Linked DNA regions of Xenopus tropicalis. The protein of the gene in region 3 interacts with the protein of the main gene of each other region in a biochemical or structural test. Links are inferred from orthologs where the notes say so. Each region holds a gene or a part of one and is shown on either strand. Other genes may lie near its edges.

Region 1 (3,518 bases), on a different chromosome or scaffold from region 3:
GTGTGGCCACCATTAGAATAAGTACTAAATTATGTTTTTTGCACACAAATTTTTTTCACACAGCAAATGGTGGCATGCACATATTCTTTTTTTCTAAAGCAAAGCCACAAAAAATAAATAAATCTGAGTTTCAGTTCTTTGTACTTAAAAAGATCATGGAGATCTCTGTTTCAGCATAGAACTTTTTTTTTATAGGAACATTAACAGTAAAAAATGAAAGTGTATCACAGTAATTAAACTATAATGTACTGCTGTCCTGCAGTGGTAAAAGTTGTGTGTTTGCTTCAGGAACACTACTATAGTTTATATAAATAAGCTGCTGTGTAGCCCCGGGGGCAGCCATTCAAATGCATGTAGGGCTAAATGGCACGGGTTACATTGGGTTAAATGGCTTCCCTCGTGGCTACACAGCAGCTTGTTTATATAAACTATAGAGGTGTTCCTGAAGCAAACACATAACTGTTACCAGTGTAGGGCAACAGTATATTATATTTTAATTACTTTAAAACCCTTTCATTTTTGGTGTTACTGTTCTTTTAAATGGAGAGATCTAGTCAGATGGATGAACCCTTTTGCAAGGAACTGTGTAGTCCCTAGAATGTTGGATATAGATAATATCTAAAGCATCTCTAGCATCTATTGGCAGTCGCCCAACAGTAAAGCAGACCTGTTTCGGATTTGCCCGAAGCTGTGCAGGATCTCATCCCTTTGCTCTCTTGCCCTGCCGCTCAGCTTTTCATTCTGCAAGCACTCAGCTAAGTAAGTCTCTGCATCTGAAAGGCAAAAAAAAATAACGTGTTTTGAGTTTTCCCATAGTACCTTTGTCACTTCCTGGCAGCTGCATGACATCTATTGACATCCTGTATTCTGCACAAATGGGTTTGGCTTTTGTACCAAAAAGAACAAAAAAGCAACATGAAAAGTTTAACTAAAATGATGCATCATACAACCTATTTTTTCCCAACTTCTTAGAAATGCCTGTTACTGTATGTGTCTATGCACTATGATCGTGTGAGTGATATAAACATATGTTATAAATAACATTTTAACCCTATGCTGCTAGCTGTTACAGTTTATATATATATATACACATATACAGGTATAGGACCCCTTATCCAGAATGCACGGGACCAAAGGTATCCCGGATAAGGGGTCTTTCCGTAATTTGGATCTCCATACCTTAAGTCTACTAACAAATAAAAAAAACATTGATTAAATACAATAGGATTGTTTTGCATCCAGTAAGGATTATTTATATGTTAGGATAATGTACAAGGCACTGTTTTATTATTACAGAGAAAAAGTAAATCAGTTTTAAAATTCTGAATTATTTGATTAAAATGGAGTCTATGGGAGACGGGCTTTCCATAATTTGGAGCTTTCTGGATAACAGGTTTCCGGATAAGGGATCCCATACCTGTATATATATATATATACACATACATATATATACATATATATACATATATACACATATATATACATACAGTGGAGGAAATAATTATTTGACCCCTCACTGATTTTGTAAGTTTGTCCAATGACAAAGAAATGAAAAGTCTCAGAACAGTATAATTTCAATGGTAGGTTTATTTTAACAGTGGCAGATAGCACATCAAAAGGAAAATCGAAAAAATAACTTTAAATAAAAGATAGCAACTGATTTGCATTTCATTGAGTGAAATAAGTTTTTGAACCCTCTAACAAAAAAAGACTTAATACTTAGTGGAAAAACCCTTGTTTGCAAGCACAGAGGCCAAACGTTTCTTGTAATTGATGACCAAGTTTGCGCACATTTTAGGAGGAATGTTGGTCCCACTCCTCTTTGCAGATCATCTGTAAATCCCTAAGGTTTCGAGGCTGTCTCTGTGCAACTCTGAGCTTGAGCTCCCTCCATAGGTTTTCTATTGGATTAAGGTCCGGAGACTGACTAGGCCACTCCATGACCTTAATGTGCTTCTTCTTGAGCCACTCCTTTGTTGCCTTTGCTGTATGTTTTGGGTCATTGTCGTGCTGGAACACCCATCCACGACCCATTTTCAGTTTCCTGGCAGAGGGAAGGAGGTTGTCGTTCAGGATTTCACGATACATGGCTCCGTCCATTTTCCCGTTAATGCGAAAATGAGAAAAACACCCCCAAAGCAAAATGTTTCCACCCCCATGCTTGACGGTGGGGACGGTGTTTTGGGGGTCATAGGCAGCATTTTTCTTCCTCCAAACACAGCGAGTTGAGTTAATGCCAAAGAGCTCTATTTTGGTCTCATCAGACCACAGCACCTTCTCCCAGTCACTCACAGAATCATTCAGGTGTTCATTGGCAAACTTCAGACGGGCCTGCACATGTGCCTTCTTGAGCAGGGGGACCTTGCGAGCCCTGCAGGATTTTAATCCATTGCGGTGTAATGTGTTTCCAATGGTTTTCTTGGTGACTGTGGTCCCTGCTAATTTGAGGTCATTAACTAACTCCTCCCGTGTAGTTCTAGGATGCTTTTTCACCTTTCCCAGAATCATTGACACCCCACGAGGTGAGATCTTGCGTGGAGCCCCAGAGTGAGGTCGATTGATGGTCATTTTGTGCTCCTTCCATTTTCGAACAATCGCACCAACAGTTGTCACCTTCTCTCCCAGCTTCTTGCTAATGGTTTTGTAGCCCATTCCAGCCTTGTGCAGGTCTACAATTTTGTCTCTGACATCCTTGGACAGCTCTTTGGTCTTTCCCATGTTGGAGAGTTTGGAGTCTGCTTGATTGATTGATTCTGTGGACAGGTGTCTTTTATACAGGTGACTAGTTAAGACAGGTGTCCTTAATGAGGTTGACTAATTGAGTAGAAGTGTCTAACCACTCTGTGGGAGCCAGAACTCTTAATGGTTGGTAGGGGTTCAAAAACTTATTTCACTCAATGAAATGCAAATCAGTTGCTATCTTTTATTTAAAGTTATTTTTTCGATTTTCCTTTTGATGTGCTATCTGCCACTGTTAAAATAAACCTACCATTGAAATTATCCTGTTCTGAGACTTTTCATTTCTTTGTCATTGGACAAACTTACAAAATCAGTGAGGGGTCAAATAATTATTTCCTCCACTGTATATACACATATATATACATATATACATACACACTACTGTTCCGGGAGTCATATTCAGCAGTGCAGAAAATATAAGCAGCCAGACAGGTGTTGCTTTCAACAACAATTTATAATAACTTGAGAATCAATAAAAATCTTTAATGAATATATACTGGAAAGCAGCTTAGAATTATATTTTCTTTCATTATGCAATTGGCCATTTGGGTGGCAGACCGCTTTAACTCATTCATTGCCATGTAGTTGAACACACAAAAATCCACACGTAATTTTCAGTGGATTTATGGTTATTTGTACATATAAATTCTAGCATTTTACTTCTGTTTGCCATGCAGAAGATGGCACAAAAATCCACAGCAGGGAAACATAGATGAAAACGCCATGTGTGACCGTTTCCCTGCAAACTGGCGGCTGCATCACTCTAGGGCCAACACAGA
Region 2 (3,518 bases), on a different chromosome or scaffold from region 3:
CCCCTATGCATGTCAGGGGCTTCCTGGGGGCTTTAAAGAGGCAGTTATTTCACTTTGCTTCTACATCTTATCTTTAAATTTGGGTCTCTGGAGAAATTGTCATCTCTAACCATACAACATTAAAGATACAGATAAAGCAGGCTTAGTGGAAGTATTTGTTCAGTTGAAATAACTGGGGTGTCATGGGTATTATGTGTTCAATACAATCTGTGTGTTTCAGTAATGTCAGTCTGACATCATATGATCATAATTTACTAATTAATAAGTATTATATCTAAGAAGAGACTTTTAGAATCCTGACCTTTGCTCATGTACTCGGTGACAATATAAATGGGCTCCTCAGACACTACAGCATAGAGCTGCACAAGCTTATCATGCTTCAGTTTCTTCATGATCTGTGCTTCTTCTAAGAAAGATTCTGGAGACATGGTGCCTGGCTTCAGTGTCTTTATCGCCACCTTTGTGTTTCCATTCCATGTACCTGCAACACAACATACCCAAGAATATGCACATTAGCATCAGCTAGCATTTAGAAGGAACGGAAGAAGGGACCCATGCCATTGGCTCTAGGGTGGCAATTCTCCAGTGCTATGCAAAATCTATAAAGAAATTGTGTGGGGGTATATTTGCCCTTTAACAGGCAGCTCCTGTTACCTTTGTAGCAATGCCACAGGATGCATATACTAAATAAAATAAACTTAATGATAGCTGTGTTTCCAATTATTTGATATTTATTGCCACTTTAAAGGCCTGCTGGTATGAATTCATAACCATTGGCATGGACCCCTCCTTTCCCACACAGAGCTTGGCATGCAATCACAAATACTCATGCACTTTAAAAGCAAGCTGCATGCAATAAAAAGCCCACCCACCAAGAAAAGAAAAAAACAATATTCTCACACTAAAATCTCACCTATTTCCAATGTTAATGCAAATTTAAAACTACATTCAGAAAGGAAAGTTAGTGTGGAAATAAAGTGTTAATAGGATAATTGGTTTTGGATTGTAATTACATGCTACAATCACAATGGTAAAGGTCACAATCACAGAGGAATACAGAAACCGTGGCTAGGTTTTATTTAGGGATGCACTGAATCCATAGCTTTTTGGATCTGACCACCAACAAATTCTGCTGAAGTGTGTATATATGCTTATATGTATGTATGTATGTATGTAGTATGTACATTCTCTGTACCCCTAGTTTCAGGCATGGATTTCTGTTATTTATAGTGACACCTTCCATTTGTCAGTCTGCAGTTAAATTTAACGGAATTTATGAAACACACATACTGAAAGGGTCTGTTCACCCTAAAATTAACTTTTAATATGATGCACACAGTATTATTCTAAGCCAGCTTTTAAGTAGCCTTAATTTTTAATTTTTGTTATTTTATATTCACAGTTTTCTGTTCTACTGTTGGGTTGCCATGGCTAGCTAGATAACCAGACAGCAGATTGGAATCAATGAAATTCACTGCTAACTTTGTGTCATAGATAATGACAGATGGTTATATAGACAGACACCTCTCCATTATATAAATATATGAAAAGATATGCCAAACTTGATGGACTAATGGTTTTCTATAACCTTACCATTTAATAATGCACCATTGTCAATATAATAAACACCTTATGTGGCAGATTTATCAAAATGCGAGTTTAGAGCTTAATACATAAAAACTCACCCATGTTCAGTTCATTCCTATGGGATTTGTAGAAATGTATTTATCAAACGGTGGGTTCTAACTTTCACCCATTGATGAATAAGTATCTAAAAATCCCATAGGAATTAATAGAATGTGGGTGAGTTTGTATGTATTAAGCTCTAAACTCACATTTTGATAAATCTGCCCCTATGTTTTATACTTAATAATTTCATAAATTCTCTACTGTAGCCTATGTGGAAACCTGGAGATTAATAATCTCTGGCACAATTTCTCTTTGCCATTGATGCTAAGTGACTTTTTTAGAGATAATATTGTTTAAAAAGTAGAATGTTTTCTCCTAAGCATGAAATATTGTCCACCTTACCAAACCACACTTCAGCGAAACAGCCCTGACCAAGCTTCTGCTCCAAAGATATTGTATTCCGTGCAACCTCCCATGCATCCTTAGCCAGTCCAACAGTTTGTGGAGTATAATTCGGTGCAATCAGAGTTAAATTAAAACACAAACCATCAGCTTTCTCTATAGGAAAAGGAATTAATAAAAAAACAAAATACATTTATGTCAAACCACAGCATGCAATAAGAAAGATGGAAGGTGATTGGTGTAAAGTATTTATCAACGCCACATTATAGTAGACAACTCAGTTTTTATATATTTTTAAAACTTCTAATATTCTGGCCATAGTAAAGTCCTCAACAGGTCACACTGGAGGCTAAAGAAAGGGGATTGTGGTTTTCATGGATTAATACCTACATCACAAACTTCCTGCTTCTTGTTTGCACCCACTTTCCATCTTTCCTCATATTGCTCCACACAAGAGCAGGTTATTAGATTTATAAAAATATATTCACTGCGTACCCATCCATACTTCCCCAAACTGCCCATTCCCCAGTCTCTTGATCAACTGGAGTGATTCTCTTGGTATTTCCCAAACATCTTTGGTTTTGACAGACAGGTCTGTAAGTCTTGGCATTCCTTTATGACATGGTACTACCAAGCGGCAACAAAGACCTGCAGCTCTCTCTGATGAGAGTTGAAAGAAGAAGGCAGAAAAGACAGGAAAAAATTGAAACGAAAACATGAAGCAAGATTAAGCATCACTAAAGAAAAGATAAAGCACATACAAGCAGAACTGAGCATATTTAAAGTCGGAGCCAATTTCACAAAAGGGTGGAGAGGAACCCTTTAGCATCCTGTAAGGCTCAGTGGTTTTGCATTAGAGATATGTCAGATACAATTGAATGATCTGTTGAATTTTTGCTTCTGTCTGTGATAAGACAATTGTTCTGCCTGGTTGGTTGGGATCACGAATTAGCACAATAAGAAAGGTGCCTCTATTGACTATTAATCATTCTTGGATTTGTAATTTTAAAATAATGTCGCTGATCTATAATATCAACAACAGAAGCAATATGACATTTTATTAAGGTGGCAGACAGCACTTGCAGGGTTAAGCAGAAAGAAAAGAGTGAAAGATATGCTTAAAGTTCTCAAAGCCAAGTATTTTGTCCTCTCAACAATAAAGATGTTACCCATGTTTTGAGGAAGGTGCTGGAGACAAAACCAATTGCATCCTCATTCCTAGAAATACACTCACTTTTAAGGAAGCACTGTGCAGATTATGTCTAGTATTTTTTTAAGCAATGGCAAATTCTAAATTAATACTGAATTTAGTAATTACTCAATTATATCCTTACTCCAAAAACAAATATGGCTGTAGTCACATTGTTCCAATGGAGTTTGGTTACTGAAGGAAAACTAACTTAGCAGTCAGAACTTTGCTCCTCTATTTTATATTCATACATAAGTGAGAGCTGATCAGGAGTTTCCACCAAAAATCTTGGGGTCCT
Region 3 (4,261 bases):
GATGGTGCCTATAGTAGCAGTGGGGGGATAATAGCCTCTGGGAAGGGACTGGGGCTGTGGGATAGCAGGTATAGTAGGGAGAGATGGTGCCTATAGTAGCAGTGGGGGGATAATAACCTCTGGGAAGGGAATGTGGCTGTGGGATAGCAGGGGGATAATAAACTCTGAGAAAACATACAGTAATAACATTAGAAGATGTGTATTGTGGCAGTTAAAATAAGTGGAATAGCACTTTGCCAGTAACACATTAAGTGGACTCTGACATGCAGCTATAAGATAAAGCCATATAAGAATACTAAATCACTTTCATTTTTCTGATAAGCATATAGCTCATGGAAACCTGTCTCCCAAAAGAATGCAGATTACATATGTATCATACAGCTTACAGTTTAAGCAGAAGTTTCTGTCCCTAAATACATTTCCATCCGGGGCTGGATATATATCTGGCGCAATAACACGAGGGCACTCATGTAAACAACCCATTAATTTTCTTTTATTTAAAGAATACAGTGTACAGAGGGCAAATGTATATGTTGTTGGGTCAATGACTAGTGGGCTCTTTCACAATTTCAGCACAATGCCCCCCCCCCCCCCCCTATACTGACTGTGTCTGACCCTGGTTACACCCACTGACATTTATAGATTGAACACGGGACAAGAAGCCAACCTTATACCAAAAAATGGTTTATCAACCAATGACATCTTCAAATGTGTTCCATCTTTAAACCAATATGCACAGAGTTGGATATCGGCTGGAAGTGATGAACCCCTTTACATGTACCAATAATTGTATGAAAGAACTCCTGTGTATGGCCGGCTTTAGCCAAAATCTGTTGGCTGCAAACTATATGGCAATGAATTATATATCTAGTTTATATGCATTTACCTATTGCATTCTACATGCATGTGAGAAAAAACATATCAATATAATATATTAAAGATTTTGATCCTGACAGAAGATTTATTATTATTTAAAAATAACTACAGGTATGAGATCTTTTATCCTGAAACACGTTATCCACAAAGCTCTGAATTAGAGGAAGGCCGTCTCCCATAGAGTCCATTTAATCAAACTATTCAAATTTTTAAAATTGATTCCCTTTTTCTCTGTAATAATAAAACAGTACCTGTACTTGATCCCAACTAAGATATAATTACCCCTTATTGGGGGCAGAACAGCCCTATTGGGTTTATTTCATGGTTAAATGATTCCCTTTTCTCTGTAATAATAAAACAGTACCTGTACTTGATCCCAACTAAGATATAATTACCCCTTATTGGGGGCAGAACAGCCCTATTGGGTTTATTTAATGGTTAAATGATTCCCTTTTCTCTGTAATAATAAAACAGTACCTGTACTTGATCCCAACTAAGATATAATTACCCCTTATTGGGGGCAGAACAGCCCTATTGGGTTTATTTAATGGTTAAATGATTCCCTTTTCTCTGTAATAATAAAACAGTACCTGTACTTGATCCCAACTAAGATATAATTACCCCTTATTGGGGGCAGAACAGTCCTATTGGGTTTATTTATTGGTTAAATGATTCCCTTTTCTCTGTAATAATAAAACAGTACCTGTACTTGATCCCAACTAAGATATAATTACCCCTTATTGGGGGCAGAACAGCCCTATTGGGTTTATTTCATGGTTAAATGATTCCCTTTTCTCTGTAATAATAAAACAGTACCTGTACTTGATCCCAACTAAGATATAATTACCCCTTATTGGGGGCAGAACAGCCCTATTGGGTTTATTTCATGGTTAAATGATTCCCTTTTCTCTGTAATAATAAAACAGTACCTGTACTTGATCCCAACTAAGATATAATTACCCCTTATTGGGGGCAGAACAGCCCTATTGGGTTTATTTAATGGTTAAATTATTCCCTTTTCTCTGTAATAATAAAACAGTACCTGTACCTGATCCCATCTATACTGAATGCCAAAAATCCTATTGGGTTTATTTAATGTTAAAATGATATTTTACTAGACTAAAGATATGGAGATCCAAAGTACGGAAAGACCCCAAGCATTCTGGATAAAGGGTCCCATACCTGTACTACTACTAATATTTTATATGATTTGTCTTTCTGTTCACACCCGCTGACCTGCTAAGCATATACAGTCTCTCATTCAAACCACCGCCTGGTTGCTAAGAGGAATCCTAGGTACCATATAATGTTTCTGTTCCAAATGACTAAATGTCAATCTAAAGTCCCCATCATTTAGGACACAACAGCCCCAATAAATCAGACAAACCCTTTCATCTCACAGAATCCTACTAGGAGTTATCAGTCTGACAATCTGACAATAAAAGGCATGAATAGCTGCACTTGGGAAGAAATAATTCAGTGGGGAAACTGTGCAGCTCTAGGTGCCAGTCCCTGCCCGCTCTGCGCTATGCTGTACAGTTTCCCTAGAAGCACAACATTCAGCAGAAATATAACCCCACTGGCAGCTTTGTAGCAATTTTAGGGCTAAAAAAAGAAAATTGTGCAAGAACTCACCATTTTTTAACGCCAACACCGATGTTGCATGTAGCAAAGTGCAGAGTCACAGGGCTTAATTATTATCCTTTGCATGAAGCGACTTCCCCTTTTGTGTAGATTATAGAATGTTATCATACAGCTCATATCACTCCTCATATCCACTTACACAGAAACAAGCACAGGGATATACTTTCTTTCCCCATCAGATTTATGAGCCGCACCGACATCTCAACGTGACCCATAGAAGTGCCCAGTCCCAGCCACCTACTGACACTGATTCTTCTCTCATTTCTTCTGCTTTCGAAAGTGTTTCTTCCTCTAAAAGAAAAATGTAAAAAACCCAGCTCCCCGGCTGTGAACTAATACTCCCAGCATTCTCAGTAACATCATTCAGTTGGACTTTACCGCTCCTGGAGAAGAGAGAATCTGGATAATAGACTTCATGATACATCTGAGGCCTTACTTCTCTCTCCACTAAGTGAATTAAATGTTCCATTTCTTCATAGGAAACCATTACAACAATAAAAGGAAGTAAATGCTGACATATATTTTACATTGTGCACAGTAACCCCCTTTTATAACATATTTTAACTTTTTTAGTTATTATTCCAGCAACAGTTGAACTGGAACTCCGGCCTCCAAACCAAAATTTGTTAAAAAGCCTCATACAACACAGAAACCCCTAATATCCCTATTACTGTAACCTATTCCTTCAGAAAGTATGAATAAATAAAATTTTTATATGCTGAAATCGAGCTGCAAAACAGTTCTTTTCTTTCTGCATCATCTCAAATCCTGGCAGGGGAGGAGGGACTAAAGCATTGAAGTTACAAATTGTAACAACTCCTCCACAGCTTACAGACAGCATGCAGGAACTACACAACCCACAATGCATTGCACTGAGATGTTCCTTTCCTTATTGACATCACGTGCAGGGAATTGTGGGATTGGGAGGATGCAGGCTGAAGGCAGGCTGAGGACAGGCGACTACTGTTGCATTTTATTTGAGTCTCAAAGTAGTCAGCCAGATCAGCAGGGCAACAGGGGGTGGGGCTTAGGGAACTGTTCCAAACCATATTTATACATTAACAACCATGTCTGCGTATTTTTTAATGTATGTATATTGCAAAGGCTGCTTGAAATTAAGTTTAGTTTGCAAAAAGCTGTGTTTGGGTTGAGTTTGCCTTTAATATAGGTTATATGCCCCCCATCCATCCTCTGCCCAGTGGGTAGCTTAGATACCTTTACATACAGGGTTCAACTGTCAGGAGACTGTATGCCTTGTCCCTTGATAGAACATGCATGGTGATCTTCTTTGGGAATGACAACAAAGAAAATGGAGCAACAAGGTGAAGGGGAGGTCCATAAAGTATAGGAGAACTGATAAGGAGATTGGAACGGGCATCAAGAGACACTGTGCAGTTTCCTGCATTAAATAGCATTGCCCATACAAGCCGAATGGCCTTTAGCACCACAACACAGACATAGGCAATATATCTGCCTACAGTTTCATCATTGTTAGTTATATGGATTCTGTAAAGGCTCACATTTTGATTGACACAGATGAGGCCCATATGCTTTCTTCTCCCAGTTCCCAGGACAAAAGGCCGAGGTAAATGAGCAACAGATCAGTTTCTTGGATGTGTTGGTAGAGGTGCAATCACCAGTGCATGAGTGTGTCAGACAATAGTTGCTGGAAATGAAGCAGTTGTTTATTTGCAAACAGTGGCATTTATCAGAGGGGGTTTACCAAAGCAAGTTGTCTGTA

What was found. The genes of interacting proteins can lie anywhere in the genome.
Region 1: the proteins of fyb1 (region 3) and skap1 form a complex in vitro, tested with the Homo sapiens proteins (2 studies listed by BioGRID and IntAct, with this or other methods). The link is inferred for Xenopus tropicalis from reciprocal best matches to the Homo sapiens genes FYB1 and SKAP1.
Region 2: the proteins of fyb1 (region 3) and fyn form a complex in vitro, tested with the Homo sapiens proteins (2 studies listed by BioGRID and IntAct). The link is inferred for Xenopus tropicalis from reciprocal best matches to the Homo sapiens genes FYB1 and FYN.

The regions. Positions count from the first base shown.
Region 1 is NC_030686.2:11,938,025-11,941,542, forward strand, and holds part of skap1 (src kinase-associated phosphoprotein 1), read right to left. Parts: intron 774-3,518; coding exon 668-773; intron 1-667. UniProt on the Homo sapiens protein: Positively regulates T-cell receptor signaling by enhancing the MAP kinase pathway. Required for optimal conjugation between T-cells and antigen-presenting cells by promoting the clustering of integrin ITGAL on the surface of T-cells.
Region 2 is NC_030681.2:76,824,441-76,827,958, reverse strand, and holds part of fyn (tyrosine-protein kinase Fyn), read right to left. Parts: intron 2,692-3,518; coding exon 2,527-2,691; intron 2,188-2,526; coding exon of another isoform or gene 2,032-2,187; intron 482-2,031; coding exon 302-481; intron 1-301. UniProt on the Homo sapiens protein: Non-receptor tyrosine-protein kinase that plays a role in many biological processes including regulation of cell growth and survival, cell adhesion, integrin-mediated signaling, cytoskeletal remodeling, cell motility, immune response and axon guidance.
Region 3 is NC_030677.2:196,904,987-196,909,247, reverse strand, and holds the start of fyb1 (FYN-binding protein 1), read right to left. Parts: upstream 2,801-4,261; 5' UTR 2,515-2,800; coding exon 2,512-2,514; intron 1-2,511. UniProt on the Homo sapiens protein: Acts as an adapter protein of the FYN and LCP2 signaling cascades in T-cells. May play a role in linking T-cell signaling to remodeling of the actin cytoskeleton. Modulates the expression of IL2. Involved in platelet activation.